Mytilus edulis: one gene and its partner. The protein of the gene in region 2 interacts with the protein of the main gene of each other region in a pairwise test. Links are inferred from orthologs where the notes say so. Each region holds a gene or a part of one and is shown on either strand. Other genes may lie near its edges.

Region 1 (6,917 bases), on a different chromosome or scaffold from region 2:
AGATATCACCAATAACCAGCAAAAAAAAAAGTAGTGGAAAAGAATGGCCAATAAAAAATTTCGGGTCGCAGTGATTTTACCGGGTCGGTCAGGGGAGGGGAAACAAACAATATTTTATTTTTGGCCTAGAGGTGTTTGCCTGTATCCCTACTGTTTTAAAATTCATCAAGCGTTTTTCTCATCGTCATTATGCAAAATAATTTGTTCAATATAGTATTATCATTTGTTCAACCAATAACTCTAAGTGATGATGCCCCTAAACACATGAATGTGGTTCACTAAAACCAAAGGTTTTGACAGGATGCAACGAACACACAAGTTGTCTATTGCTCTTCCTCTGGGCCCAGAAATCAGGACGAGCTTTAATTTTTAAGACATGAAATGTCATGACATTATTTACCATTGCTAAGGCTTAGTAACTATGGTATTATATGAGGATGAAAGTCCCCTAGGCCTAATACAGTAGAAAAATAAATAAATAAAAAAAATTAAAAAATTGGGAAAATTTCCCGAAATTTTCATTGTACTAATGAACTCAAAATCGTTCAAATTTTTTTTGTCGCTTTATTTAATTCCAGCAGAACGCAGAAATCAACTTCCTTCTTCCGGTCTCTTTGTCGTGAGACTTTGAGTAGTCTAGTACATCTACATCTACGACATATAGGAACTCAAGGAACACAATACCAATATTTCATTTATAATAATTCTTCGTCTTTGATATGAATTAACGTTACCTGATGCATTGCATTTCTTTGTTCACATTGAACATGACATCATAACTTAAATAACGTCACAAGTAAAATCCCTAACAACAGAACCAAAATCGGAAACGTTACGGTATTTCCGTTTCTTTTTTTGAACACATATGTAAGTTACAAACAAAATAATTCATACAGACTTCGTCCCCATTCACAGGTAATGCCTGCCTCATATTAGTATAAAATGACACAGTAAAAATCAGAGGCTTTTATCAAAATATTAGTCCGAGATTACTCTGACGTCCAACGGCTGTTTTGCCAGACAAGCTGGGGCCGTGGGACGTCAGAGCTCGTCCCATATCAAAAAGTGGATATTTGCCCACCCAAAATAGATGCGCTGCTTCGTCGCTTCTGGTGCCGACTGACGGCCTTGGAATTATATAAATCGGGCATCAATCTGTTCATTTTTCATTTATCTTTTCATTTATGTAAGTTTCACCTACCTGCCAACCTTTATTTTTCCATATTTTAACAGTTTTCACAGAGACCCATCGATTTCTGCATTTTGCCTTTCATTTTCAAAGATTATCACGTGACCACGAGAAAACAGTGATGATTTATGCAAATGACCATAATGTAACACCTCGTTCATTTACGATGCAAGTTATCTAAATGTCCGAGAGCTTCCGATTGTAACGTGGTCAGAACTAAATGCTTAATACTGATCTCCTGTAAAGGAGGTGAAAAATCGTGGTTGGCTACTAAATGTTAAACATCGATCTCCTACAAAATTTGCATATTTGAGTCTCGAGGCCACAAACTCTCTCGTAACTTGACGTCCATTTGAAAGTGAAAGTCAAAATGCAGAAATCGATGGATCTCTGTGAAAACTGTTAAAATATGGAAAAATAAAAGTTGGCAGGTAGGTGAAACTTACATAAATGAAAAGATAAATGAAAAATGAAAGGATTGATGCCCGATTTATATAATTCCAAGGCCGTTAGTCGGCACCAGAAGCGACGAAGCAGCGCATCTATTTTGGGTGGGCAAATATCCACTTTTTGATATGGGACGAGCTCTGACGTCCCACGGCCCAAGCTTGTCTGGAAAAACAGCCGTTGGACGTCAGCAGTGATATTGTTTGGCTCAAATAACAGCCGAAATTCGGCCTTTTCCCCTAGAGAAAATTCCCAATTACTGAAAAAAATGGCTTAAAATTCCTCCCAAAAAGTTTTACATTTTCCCCAAACAGTGATGGCATTGGTAGTAATGTTTGTAAATATCGTATTCATGTTATCATTTTGATATTAGAAAGCACTTTTGAGATCCGGTTTTCTGATCAGAATCATCATGGTGTTTGTAACACATGTAGTTTTCAATGCATTGTAAGTACCATCATTGCTTCTGTTTCTTTCCCCTCTCCGAAAGTATCTTTCAGGTTGAAAATGTCTGACAACCAAAACATACATGAAAAAAACAGTGCAAAAAGACAGCAAAGGTCAGGAAAAAATCGGAGATGTGTTCAGAATAAAATATACAAATTTCCCAATTTCAATAAAAAATATGCATTTTTCCCAATAAAAAACGGTAGAGGTAGTTTTGAAAAAAGACAACAATATCACTGGTCAGAGTAAGGGAGCTACCATTTGATTTTTATGGGGGGGCTAGGATGAAATTTGAAAAAAATAGGCAGGACAGGAGTTTAGAGTAAAAAAAAAGGCAGGATGAGACACTTGCAAAAAAAAAAAGTCAGGACGACAATTAAGGTAAAAAAAAGTGAGGATCAACTAAAAAAAAAAGGCAGGACCGAACAGAGTGAAAAATAAAAAGGCAGGACAGAGATTACAGCTAAAAAAAAATGCAGGACAAAATTTTTCATCCTAGCCCCCCCATAAAAATTAAATGGTAGCTCCCTAATCTCGGACTATCAAAATATGTGTTTGTGCAGACAGGGGTTTGTTACAATTGCCGGGTTTACTATCCATACGAACCCCTAGTTTTTTGGGGGTTCGTATGGATAGTAAGCCCGGCCATTGTAAGAAACCCATGTGGGTTATGATGGAATTAACAAAATTGTTTACCTCCGGCAAGAATGCCTCCAAATATAAATTTTCGTTTATGACGCTTTATAAAATTCCACAAACTACCGATTCCTAACATCTTCTTAATTAAAGAAATGTCTTGCCACTGATTTATCACTAGATTTGTTCAAAATTCGTTCGTTCTGACTTCGTGCTCTGCTTCGTGATCAAAATCCAATTTTTCTTTTCGATGTAAAGCACGAACTTTATTTCATATTGAAGTTTCATGTGATTAAAGCACTGTAGTGATTTTATTTTATAATAATTAGTACATACTTCAATGTCGGGTACGGAAATGTTTCGTTTCCGATTTGTTTTATCGTTTCCCTTGAAATGTATAGATATACAAGTTCAGACCAATCTTCCAAATTAAAGATAACTAAACAGCCACATGTTACTATCAATTTAAATCAACTTTTCATATGTAATAGAAACAAAAAGTTATGTTGATATTTATTTTACTTTTACTGAACTGTAATGTTGTTTGTATATCATATCTCTAGTGGCATTTTTATAGATCTTATATCAAGGATCCCGGATCCCGCTTACTGTTACACTATGTACGTAAGCAATTCTCATTTTTTTGTCATTTCCCAGGTCCCGCTAGACCTCATTTCCCGTTTTCACGACACAATAATTTGACTTTCACGTGTCACGCTTACAAAAAATCAGCAATCCCGTGTCACGCTTAGACCCCAATGAGACCCACATTGAGTCATTATGATTTTGTGAAATTATAGTGAAGACCATTAGACTTCTTCTATGAACACTAGTCAATTTCTTTTATTGAGAAGTTGGTCCCAAAGCCTGAATCCTCTAAACTGGTAAAAATATGCCTTTTAAAATCTATTCTATACTTTTTATTCTGCGATCAGTTATAATGTTGGTTATTTGTAAATCATATTTAGACACATTTTTTGTAAATCTTGTTGTGATGATAATATTTGCTGTTTATAGTTTGTATCTACCTACAAAAGTCTGACACGTACATTATTCAGACAACTGTTTTTGATCATATTTGATATTTCTTGTTTTTTAAAGTTTCTTTCTTTCCACCATATTTTTTGACTACTGGTATTTAAAATGTGTAAAAGTCATCTCTATGGAGAAATTAATTGAAGAAGATTTGATTGACAAATTTCTGACATGTTATTGAAGATTTTATTTTGCTGAACATAAACTGGTGCTTTTAAAAATTTAGGTTTTCAGAGGGATTAACCTAGCAAATTATTCATAACTCTATATCTAGTATTGATTTTTAACAAATACTAGATGCTCATCAACTGACATTAGTTGTCTTTTTAACATCACAAACTGTGTAAAAATCATGTCATGTAAATCTATTGACACAGTTGGATCAAAGAAGCAAACTATGCATGGGTTGTCTTTGTTCAAAACTGTAAATAAGGTTCCCATGATATCCAAAGTGGTGTGCCAGATTGTAAAACTGAACAATCAAAGAAATCATGGAAAAGAAGTCAAACCAGTGATACATGTGCACATTACAACGATTCTCTGGACCAAAATAGTTTATCTTCAACTTGATCATACTTAAAGAAGAACAAAATTACAACTTACAACCAGATGCTCCGCAGGGCGTAGCTTTATACGACCGCAGAGGTTGAACCCTGAACGGTTAGGGCAAGTATGGACACAACATTCAAGCTGGATTCAGCTCTAAATTTGGATTGTGATTAAATAGTTGACACAGCATAGGTTTCTGACACAGAATGAATGTGTTCTAATGAACTTAAAATTTTTGTTTCTCTTAGAGCAATTCACTATGCTGTTGAATATTAATCCTCTCAAAAAAATGTTTGAAGAAATTTTCTTTTTTATTTATGAAATTTCAAATGAGAAAAATTGAACCCAATTTTTTTAATCACATCCCCCTTTCCCTTATTCCAAAACTAATCTCAATTAAAATTTCTAATGGAGTTTGCAACAATAACTACTCATTTAAATACATCATAAAATATTAAGATGTAAAAAAACTGCTTGTTATCACTGAATGGTAAAGATTATTTTAATTTATCAGTTGGTAGTAAAAAGTGAATATACATTGTATATTGTATATAACAAAGATTTAAGTTGATTCTGGACAAAGAAAGATAACTCCAATTAAAAAAAAATCTTGCTATTGCACAATATTTTGCAATTAGATATTTCTTGCTTACTATTCTGGACAAAGAAAGATAACTCTAATTAATTTTTTTTTTGATATTTCACAATATTGTGCAATTAGATATTTCTTGCCATTGCGCAATACTGTGCAATTGAAAAGACTTGCTATTGCACAATACTTAATATAATAATTTTAGATCCTGATTTGGACCAACTTGAAAACTGGGCCCATAATAAAAAATCTAAGTACATTTTTGAATTCAGCATATCAAAGAACTTCAAGATTTCAATTTTTGTTAAAATCAGACTAAGTTTAATTTTGGACCCTTTGGACTTTAGTGTAGACCAATTTGAAAACAGGACCAAAAATGAAGAATCTACATACACAGTTAGATTTGGTATATCAAAGAACCGCATTTATTCAATTTTTGATGAAATCAAACAAAGTTTAATTTTGGACCCCGATTTGGACCAACTTGAAAACTGGGCCAATAATCAAGAATCTAGATACATTTTTAGATTCAGCATATCAAAGAACCTAACTGATTCATTTTTTGTCAAAATCAAACTAAGTTTAATTTTGGACCCTTTGGACCTTAATGTAGACCAATTTGAAAACGGGACCAAAAGTTAAGAATCTACATACACAGTCATGACAGTTAGATTCAGCATATCATAGAACCCCAATTATTCAATTTTGATGAAATCAAACAAAAGTTTAATTTTGGACCCTTTGGGCCCCTTATTATGTTGGGACCAAAACTCCCAAAATCAAACCCAACCTTTCTTTTATGGTCATAAACCTTGTGTTTAAATTTCATAGATTTCTATTTACTTATACTAACGTTATTGTGCGAAAACCAAGAAAAATGCTTATTTGGGTCCCTTTTTGGCCCCTAATTCCTAAACTGTTGGGACCTAAACTCCCAAAATCAATACCAACCTTCCTTTTGTAGTCATTAACATTGTGTTTAAATTTCATTGATTTCTATTTACTTAAACTAATGTTATTGTGCGAAAACCAAGAATAATGCTTATTTGGGCCCTTTTTTGGCCCCTAATTCCTAAACTGTTGAGACCAAAACTCCCAAAATCAATCCCAACCGTTCTTTTGTGGTCATAAACCTTGTGTCAAAATTTCATAGATTTCTATTAACTTAAACTAAAGTTATAGTGCGAAAACCAAGAAAATGCTTATTTGGGCCCTTTTTGGCCCCTAATTCCTAAAATGTTGGGACCAAAACTCCCAAAATCAATACCAACCTTCCTTTTGTGGTCATAAACCTTGTGTTAAAATTTCATAGATTTCCATTCACTTTTACTAAAGTTAGAGTGCGAAAACTAAAAGTATTCGGACGCCGGACGACGACGACGACGACGACGACGACGCTGATAGCAATATACGACGAAAATTTTTTCAAAATTTGCGGTCGTATAAAAACAAATGACTCGAAAGTAAATCAAACATTATTTGCATAATGTGCTCTTGCTTAGTCATGTTATCTTTAAACATTGGAGCATTTCTTGCCCTTATTGGAATTCGGTTTTGAAAGAAAGTTCCTGGTAGTTATGAATCATTTATTCAAAACTAATCATAGCACTACAGAGTTTAGTATACGGTATAACAACTAATCATTTGTTGAGACCAATTGTTTGACTGCTAATAATACGTGTGTGTATTTGTTGTGATATATCTCATTGACCTTTTCATAATTTTCCTTTAAACCAATGTGTGTAAAAATTGTTTCTTTTACTGACATAAGTATCATGAATGAAGTCATTTCTCCTTTACATTAGTATATAGATTAGACTGTGATTTTTCTGTTTGAATGGTTTTACATTAGTAATTTTGGGGGCCCTTTATAGCTTGCTGTTCGGTGTGAGCCAAGCCTCCATGTCGAAGGCCGTACCTTGACCTATAATGGTTTATAAATTGTTACTTGGATGGAGAGTTGTCTCATTGGCACTTATACCACATCTTCCTATATCTATTAAGGAATAATAGTACTGACAT
Region 2 (7,662 bases):
GTAGCGTGAGCCCTGAAAATCAACTGTTTTTTTAAATCTTCCAAATAATATATAGGGAAATGACATCAGTATTTTAATAACATTGTTCAATTTTGTTGTAAAATATAACAATGGGGCTTTAAAATTTTTACATTTAATGCAAAAAATCTAACTGTCAAATACTAGTAGTCAAATTAATATTCAAGAGCTTTACCTAGCTCAAAGTGACATCAATAAAATTAATATTATTCTGAAAGGCTTGAATAAGTTTACTATTATTGCATGGTAAGGGGCAATTACAATATATACCAATTATGTCACTTTTCATATCAAAGTTTTAACATACCAGGCCATACTACTTTTTTCTATGGAAATTTGGTCATTCTATATATATATCTACATAAAGCCGAAAAATGAGTAGAGAGATTGCCTGTTTACTTTGTGAGCTGTACAACTAATATAATGAACCATCTTCCTGTTTCTCCCCATGCTCTCTGTGCTGCCATCTCTAGAAAAACTTCTGCATACTGTAAAACTGTTAAAAATCTTTTCCATCTTTCTACTGGAACAGACTGAAATAAGAAAGAGCATACTTGTACATGTAAAACATTGATTTAATAGTTTAGCATTTACAAAAGTCAGTCATTTACTTTGCATAAACTTGAAAGTTGTAAACATATGACACTGTTTGACTCAGATTTATACATCCAATATCTGTCCAAAATTATTTTTTTTTCTCAATCTGGCCAAAAAAAATGGTATGTGTGTTTCATATTGCATCTTTAATAAAAATAGGGAAGATAGCTATAGGTCATGTAGGTAGGGATTTTTTTTTTTATTTTACCATTTGTTTTTACATTGAGTCTAAAGGAGAGGCATTCTGAACAGTGCGTATTAAAAAAATGGAAAAAAACAACAACTTAAGGGTAAGCTATTTCTTTAGCTTAAAAATATGGAGGGTAGGGTAATAAGAAAACCACATCTTTTTTTATTTGGCCTATAAGACTAGGATGTTATTCGCTACTTCTCAGTATTCAACTATGACGACCAACCACAACTTACTTCTAAAATCTTGATGAAGTAGTTAGTTACAATTTGACTAAATGATAAATACCAGTATAAAAAATTATATTCGATTAATTGTTTAGTTGGAAGCCCAGAGTGGACAGCATGTTTTGCTCTGGTTTGTGATACTTTCATTGGTTATTGAAGATAAAATGTATTACTTTGACATCACAGATTTTAATTGCTTGTTCAAATTCAGTATTACTATTAGCTTCAACTTTAAACATTAATATAAATACAAATGTACATGTTGAATATAAATTTGACAGACTTACTATGTTTTTTAAAACTTTGGCTGTCTGTCTGAAGATGGTATCATTTAGTAAAATCAGTAAATTGGATGCCAAGTAGACAAGCTCTGACAAAACCTGGGAATCTTCAAATCTACCTGAAAGACAAAAAGACTTAATTGGTTAAAAATGTATAAAAGACATGAAAGAGATCATAAATGACTATTTTTAACCTAATCACATTTAGGTGACTTTTTATTGTTCTATTTGGCATTTTAAGTGTCTGTCTCTTTTCATTCATCAAATGTTCATACATACACATATCTGATTCCATACATACATGCATTTATTATGTAAAAGTCCCCCAAAAAGAAAGGTTGCCCAGTAGCAACTATCAGATTTGGACCACACCAACTTACACTTCAATTCAGCCGATTAAGAGAGGGGCCCTCCCCCCTTTTTTGGAAAAAAATTGGTTGCTTATATAGTGAATCACTGAAGCATGACAATAGCAAGCCCCCTCTTAGGCAGTCAGTGTGCCCCCACTTATGAAATTTCTAGATCCGCCAGTGGTTGTTGTTCCAGTATTTTTTATGTTGGTAAAATTATCTTTCTACTGTTTCTTTTTAAAGCCCTCACAATTAATGCATGTAAAATAATTGATCTTAGTTCAAAAACAGTTTCAATGGTTCCAGGATCATCCTACGAACATGATGAATGTGACTTATAAGATATTTTTTGTTTGTGGGGGTTAAAATATGATTGTAGGTCTATTTTCCATATGCAAAGTGACCTTAGAGTGACCCCTCATAAAAATCAGGTGATGGCAATACGCATGGATCTGTCACTGAAATAAACTATTATCTTATTGTACATGTTAAACATGTTTCCATTATCCATGCTTCTTTGTTGATTGTTTACTATAAGGTGACAATCGGTAAACTTTGGCTTCAAAAACGACAAGTAATGAGCAGCTATATTTTCACATCATAACAAACAGAGAGAAAAAAAATGACAATTATACGATACATAATGTCATTTGTATAAATGATAAAATCATGCACAGAAGTAGTCCAAATAATTATGACGTCTTGAAAGGCTATTCTAATTTTTTTCTCTGACGCCGAAGGAAGGCGTCAAAGAAAAAAATTATAATAGCCTTTCAAGACGTCATAATTATTTGGACTAGCACAGAAGACTAACATGACTAAGTTGATGATATATACATGCATGGGTTCAAGAATTGGATAAATATTAATTTTCACCAATCTGATTAAATCACTCGTTTCAGATGACTTTAAAGTTGGAAACCAAGAAATGTAACAATGATAAAATCTGAACCATGACCTTTGGCTTGTTTAAAAAAAAAGCAGAATCATTCAATAAGAGTATTGTTTCATCCCTATTTTTAAGATGATATATATGAGAAGAATAAACCATTAAATAAATTATGTATGCATGATGTTGCCTATCAAAGAGGATTTTGTTGATCATATGAAACTGAAAGTAGGATTAAAATCTGAGTTATCCACCCCTTTTTAAGATTTCTTGTAAACATTCTTCATTAACAAGATATTTTACCTGCTATAACATATGACACAACTTTGAATGTGGATTCTAGTTGACTGACAGTTTCGGGATTTTCCCTCACTATCTTCTGATAGCGTTCCCATACTTCTCTCACAAAATCTGATGCAGCTGAGGCCATGGTCAACACAAATATTGGCAAAATGAATCTGAATACCAAAAAGTATGATCTTTTTATTAAAAAAATGTTAAATTTTCAATGTCTTGGCATCAACTGTAAGGTAAACGAATTGTTATAAAAATAGAAAGCATCTATAAAAGAGAATGACAGCTGTGTTTATAGACGGTAAAAAACTATAACCGTTTCGTCTTTTTTTTTGGTGATTGGTGATTTTCTTTTTACTGGTTACCTGTTTGTTGTTTTCCTTCTCCTTTGCCATAAATCTCAGAAAGAAGGTCCAGTTGAAAATACATTGAAAAAAAGTTATCTATAATTTTTCATAATGAACACATAGGTTTTATAAAGGTATTGAAACTGTAATCTAATCCTACAAAATTGAAGCCACTATGTACAGTAGAATATATTTGTATCTGCAAAGTTCTTCTTTATACGTTTTTTTTTGCAAAATGAATCACATTTGAAATTTTTGATTTTGTTATTCGACAGTTCGAGCGAAACATTTTCTAGGTTCTAAAATATTAATTCTCTATACCATTTCCCTTCTGTAGCATCAGTACAAGTTTCACATTTGTTTATGTGTAATAATCTAAGGGACAAAATTACATATGCAATACATATAGAAGACGAAAAACATTTTATCTTGCATTGCACAAAATTTTTGTGCAATATTATATCACAGGAGGTTGAAATCCTATCAATGAGGGTCTATAATTATGTCAACTCGACTATCACAGTAGAGCTTCTCTCGTAGAGAGAAGCGAAGAGAAGCTCTACTGTGATAGTCGAGTTGACATATTTATAGACCCTCATTGATAGGATTTCAACCTCCTGTGATTATATGAATCACAAAGAAATGTTCTTATATCAAAATTGTCCAAATTTAAAAATTATGACAAACAATCTAAAACTGAGGATGAATATATCAAACTATTACTTAATAACAAGTGTAGAAAAACACTTTGATTAATATCATCTTTTATTAATCAATCATTTGAATTAAGGAAAAATGTACTTATAAAGCTACAGTACGCCCAGAGAGTATGTAATCGCAAACTCTAATCACGGATTTCCGAGTGTAGCGGTGTGACACGGCGAATCAGGGATTATACTCCCAATTTCCTCCAAAGATTCTCTCCCAACACCGCGTGGCTGTTTATTGGTTTATTGCCCATCGGATGTACTGAAAATTAATGACGCGTGACAACATCATCGGATTAGCCAGATTTATTACCTTTGTAATAAGTTCAAGTTCAAGTTCAACTACGCACTGTTGATCACTGAGATGCGTATCGTCTTCCCACGGCAATTAATTGCTTTAAAAATATTTAAAGATCACTGTTCTAAATACAACACAAAAGTTTACATTCATTGTGCGTAAATAAATATTATGCAACGACGAGTTGATGCAGCTATAGAAGTATTCCTGTTGTAGCCGAAATGTATTATTTATCCTAAAGTAAAGCTAACAAATCGTGAAGAGAAAATGCTGTAGACTTATTAAGCATAAAGAATGGTGAAAAGTATTTTCTTTTTTTCTTGCATATACAAGTTTTAAGACACGTAATTTTCTTTCTTTCTCACATTTTATACCTTCAGCGTTAATTTCCGTTTATTTTCACGCAAGTATGTCTCTTTTCGTAAGTTATATAAATTACCGATAAAAAAAAACCCGAGGTCATAATCAAGTATAGATTTTTTTTTTATAAAACTTTAATGCAATTGAAAGCATTTAATAACAACAACCTTTTCCTTTTTAAAACTTTTATTTTGTAATTGTAAAATGGAAATGGCTTACTTATTAGCATAACAGATAGTGAATAATATTTTCATTTTTACTTGTATAAAAAACTTTGAGACGTGTCACTTTTCTTTAAACTACCCTAATTTATTCAGCGTTAGTCTCCATTTATTGTTACACAATTATATCTCTTTTAGTAAATTAAATAGTTATTTACTGATAAAAAATGGAAGTCAAAATCAAATATAGTTGTTTTTAAAAATTGATTTAGATGTACAGAGTAATTAAAAGAATTAACAACGTTTTTATTTTTATTTTAATCTTTCATTTGTTTCAAGCAATCAGATATAAACTGATAATCAATAGACAGGAAATACAATTGTTTAATTACATTAGAAATCTGGCATACCTTGACTGTCGCGTGCCGGCATAGATCAGAAGGATTAGGGCAATTAATTACCTGGTGTGACACCGCGTCACTCCAGACTGGGAGAGATGTCGCTAATACAATAAACAAAAGGTAACAGATTTACGCGGAAGTCGGAGGGAATACTCCCAAATTTCTCCGAGAATTTAGGGAGTGATGTCGGAGTTTCCTGGTGTCACACCAGGAAAAAACTCGGTGTATGGAGTTTGGGATGGCTTTCGCGAAAATTGTACTGTATAACATACAATATACTTATGTCAGTAGTCTATTCTTACAAATTAACCTATATATATTGATATTTATAACTGCACATTTCATTGTTCGAAATGTGCAAAATGATATGCTATGTAGTATTGTTTAATTGCTGCATCATTACTATTAGTATACTAGTTGTATGGGCCGTTGCCAATTATTGTAATTGAGTGTGTGCCAATAAATAAATATTTGTAAAATAAATATTTGTATCCAGATAATAACATTAGTATAAGTACATTTGGAAATAGAAATTAATAAAATTTTAATACAATGTTTATAACCTAAAAAGGAAGTTTGGGATTGATTTTGTGGGTTATGTTCCCTAAGGTTTAGGAAATTGTACACCATTGTTTAATACCATAAGTAGAAGGTTGGGATATATTTTAAGGGTTATGGGGCAAACAGTCTAGGAATAAAGGGCCAAAAAGGGGCCAAAAACAATAATTTTTGTAGTTTCAAGACAATAAATTGGAGTTATCTTTCTTTAGCCAGAATGGTATTTGAATCAACAACAACAACAACAACAACAACAACAATACTTTATTTTAAGAGGGTTACACAGTTAGCTATATAACTAATCTTCCCTGAGGCCCTCGTAATGAAAAATCAAACAAAACACAAACATATACTAGTACATTGCATACATACATTAGCATAAAAAGTCAAGTGTGATAATAATGTTCAATACAACTTGATAAAATGTGATGAAAAAATAAACATGATGACATGATCAGTTTTTTATATTATTTATACAGTTAGGTTGATTTCAATAAATGATCTGCTATTTTGTATTTGAAAGAATTAATATTTGTAATATTTCTTAACTGTATTGGCAAATTATTCCACAAGTATGGTCCAGAATACATAAAAGATTTTTTGAATAATTCTGTTTTTGGTTTAGGGAGTATGAGGTTTCCTTGAACAGCATTTCTCAAGGGGTACGGATTTCTGTCTGAAACATAATGAAACTTGTTAGTAAGATATGATGGGGCATCATTATTAATACACTTAAATGTCATCACTAACTTATGATATTTTATTCTCTGTTCAACTGTCATCCAGTTTAAGTGTTTGAATAAGGGTGCAGAAGGAGCGAATGGGTCTGTTTCTAGTATTAATCTAGCAGCCCTCTTTTGTAATTTTAATATCCTTTTTAAACCCTCACTGCTACAACTACTCCACACTATACAACAATAATCAATAAGTGGCAAGATATAACCATTATAGAATAATTTTCTGCAGTCTAGATTTAGAAATTTTTTAATCTTTAATAGTAGATATAGTCTAGATGATATTTTTGAGCAGATCAAGTCAATTTGGGTTGTCCATGTGAGGGAAGGGTCAATTTTAATGCCTAAAAGACTTTCGCATGTGGAAGATTGTATCACTTGATTGTTAATAGTTAAACAACTCTCATTGTAATGTGGCATTGCTCTTTGCTTCGTTCCAATAATCATATATTTTGTTTTATTTTTATTGATGAACATATTGTTATCATTGCACCATGCCTCTACACCATGTAAATCTTCTTGTACCTTTGACTGAAGAGTTTGATAACAATTACCAGAAAGATGTAAGGTTGAATCATCGGCATATAAATCAGTGCAACAATTTTTCATATAAATAGGAAGGTCGTTGATGTATAATATAAACAGAAGGGGGCCTAATATGGAGCCTTGGGGAACACCATACTTGATATGAAGTTTTTCAGAATGAGCATTACCAATTTGTACTTGTTGAGTTCTTTCATTCAAATACGATTGAAAAAAAGAAACAGCAGTATTATCAAATCCATAAATTTCAAGTTTTTTACAGAGGATATCATGATCTACTACATCAAAAGCTTTCTTAAAATCCAACAGGACTGCTAAGTTGATATTACCATCATTCATATCCTGTATCCATTTATCTATGATATTGATAAGGGCAGTTTGGCAAGAGTGTTCTTGTCGAAACCCAGACTGTGCTGGGTGTAAAAGATCTAATCTTTTAAGATAGTCAAACAAATGTTTTGAAACATGCTTTTCTAAAAGTTTTGATAAAACTGGAAGTACAGAAATTGGTCTATAATTTGTTGCCATGAATTTTTCACCAGCTTTAAAAACAGGGGTTACTCTTGCATTCTTTAAAACACAGGGAAATGTACTTGTATCTATTATTCTGTTAAAAATGTAAGTTAAAGATGAAGTTATGACAACTTAAACCAATGCTTTATGAAATCTTTGAAAATTGGAGTTATCTTTCTTTGTCAAGAATAATA

What was found. The genes of interacting proteins can lie anywhere in the genome.
Region 1: the proteins of peroxisomal membrane protein PEX16-like (region 2) and peroxisomal biogenesis factor 3-like interact in binary tests that used the Homo sapiens proteins (3 or more experiments, as listed by UniProt). The link is inferred for Mytilus edulis from reciprocal best matches to the Homo sapiens genes PEX16 and PEX3.

What each region holds. Positions count from the first base shown.
Region 1 is NC_092344.1:15,640,985-15,647,901, forward strand, and holds the start of peroxisomal biogenesis factor 3-like, read right to left. Parts: upstream 3,002-6,917; 5' UTR 2,859-3,001; coding exon 2,780-2,858; intron 1-2,779. UniProt on the Homo sapiens protein: Involved in peroxisome biosynthesis and integrity. Assembles membrane vesicles before the matrix proteins are translocated. As a docking factor for PEX19, is necessary for the import of peroxisomal membrane proteins in the peroxisomes.
Region 2 is NC_092350.1:35,241,105-35,248,766, reverse strand, and holds the start of peroxisomal membrane protein PEX16-like, read right to left. Parts: upstream 3,024-7,662; 5' UTR 2,983-3,023; coding exon 2,856-2,982; intron 1,433-2,855; coding exon 1,320-1,432; intron 552-1,319; coding exon 418-551; intron 1-417. UniProt on the Homo sapiens protein: Required for peroxisome membrane biogenesis. May play a role in early stages of peroxisome assembly. Can recruit other peroxisomal proteins, such as PEX3 and PMP34, to de novo peroxisomes derived from the endoplasmic reticulum (ER).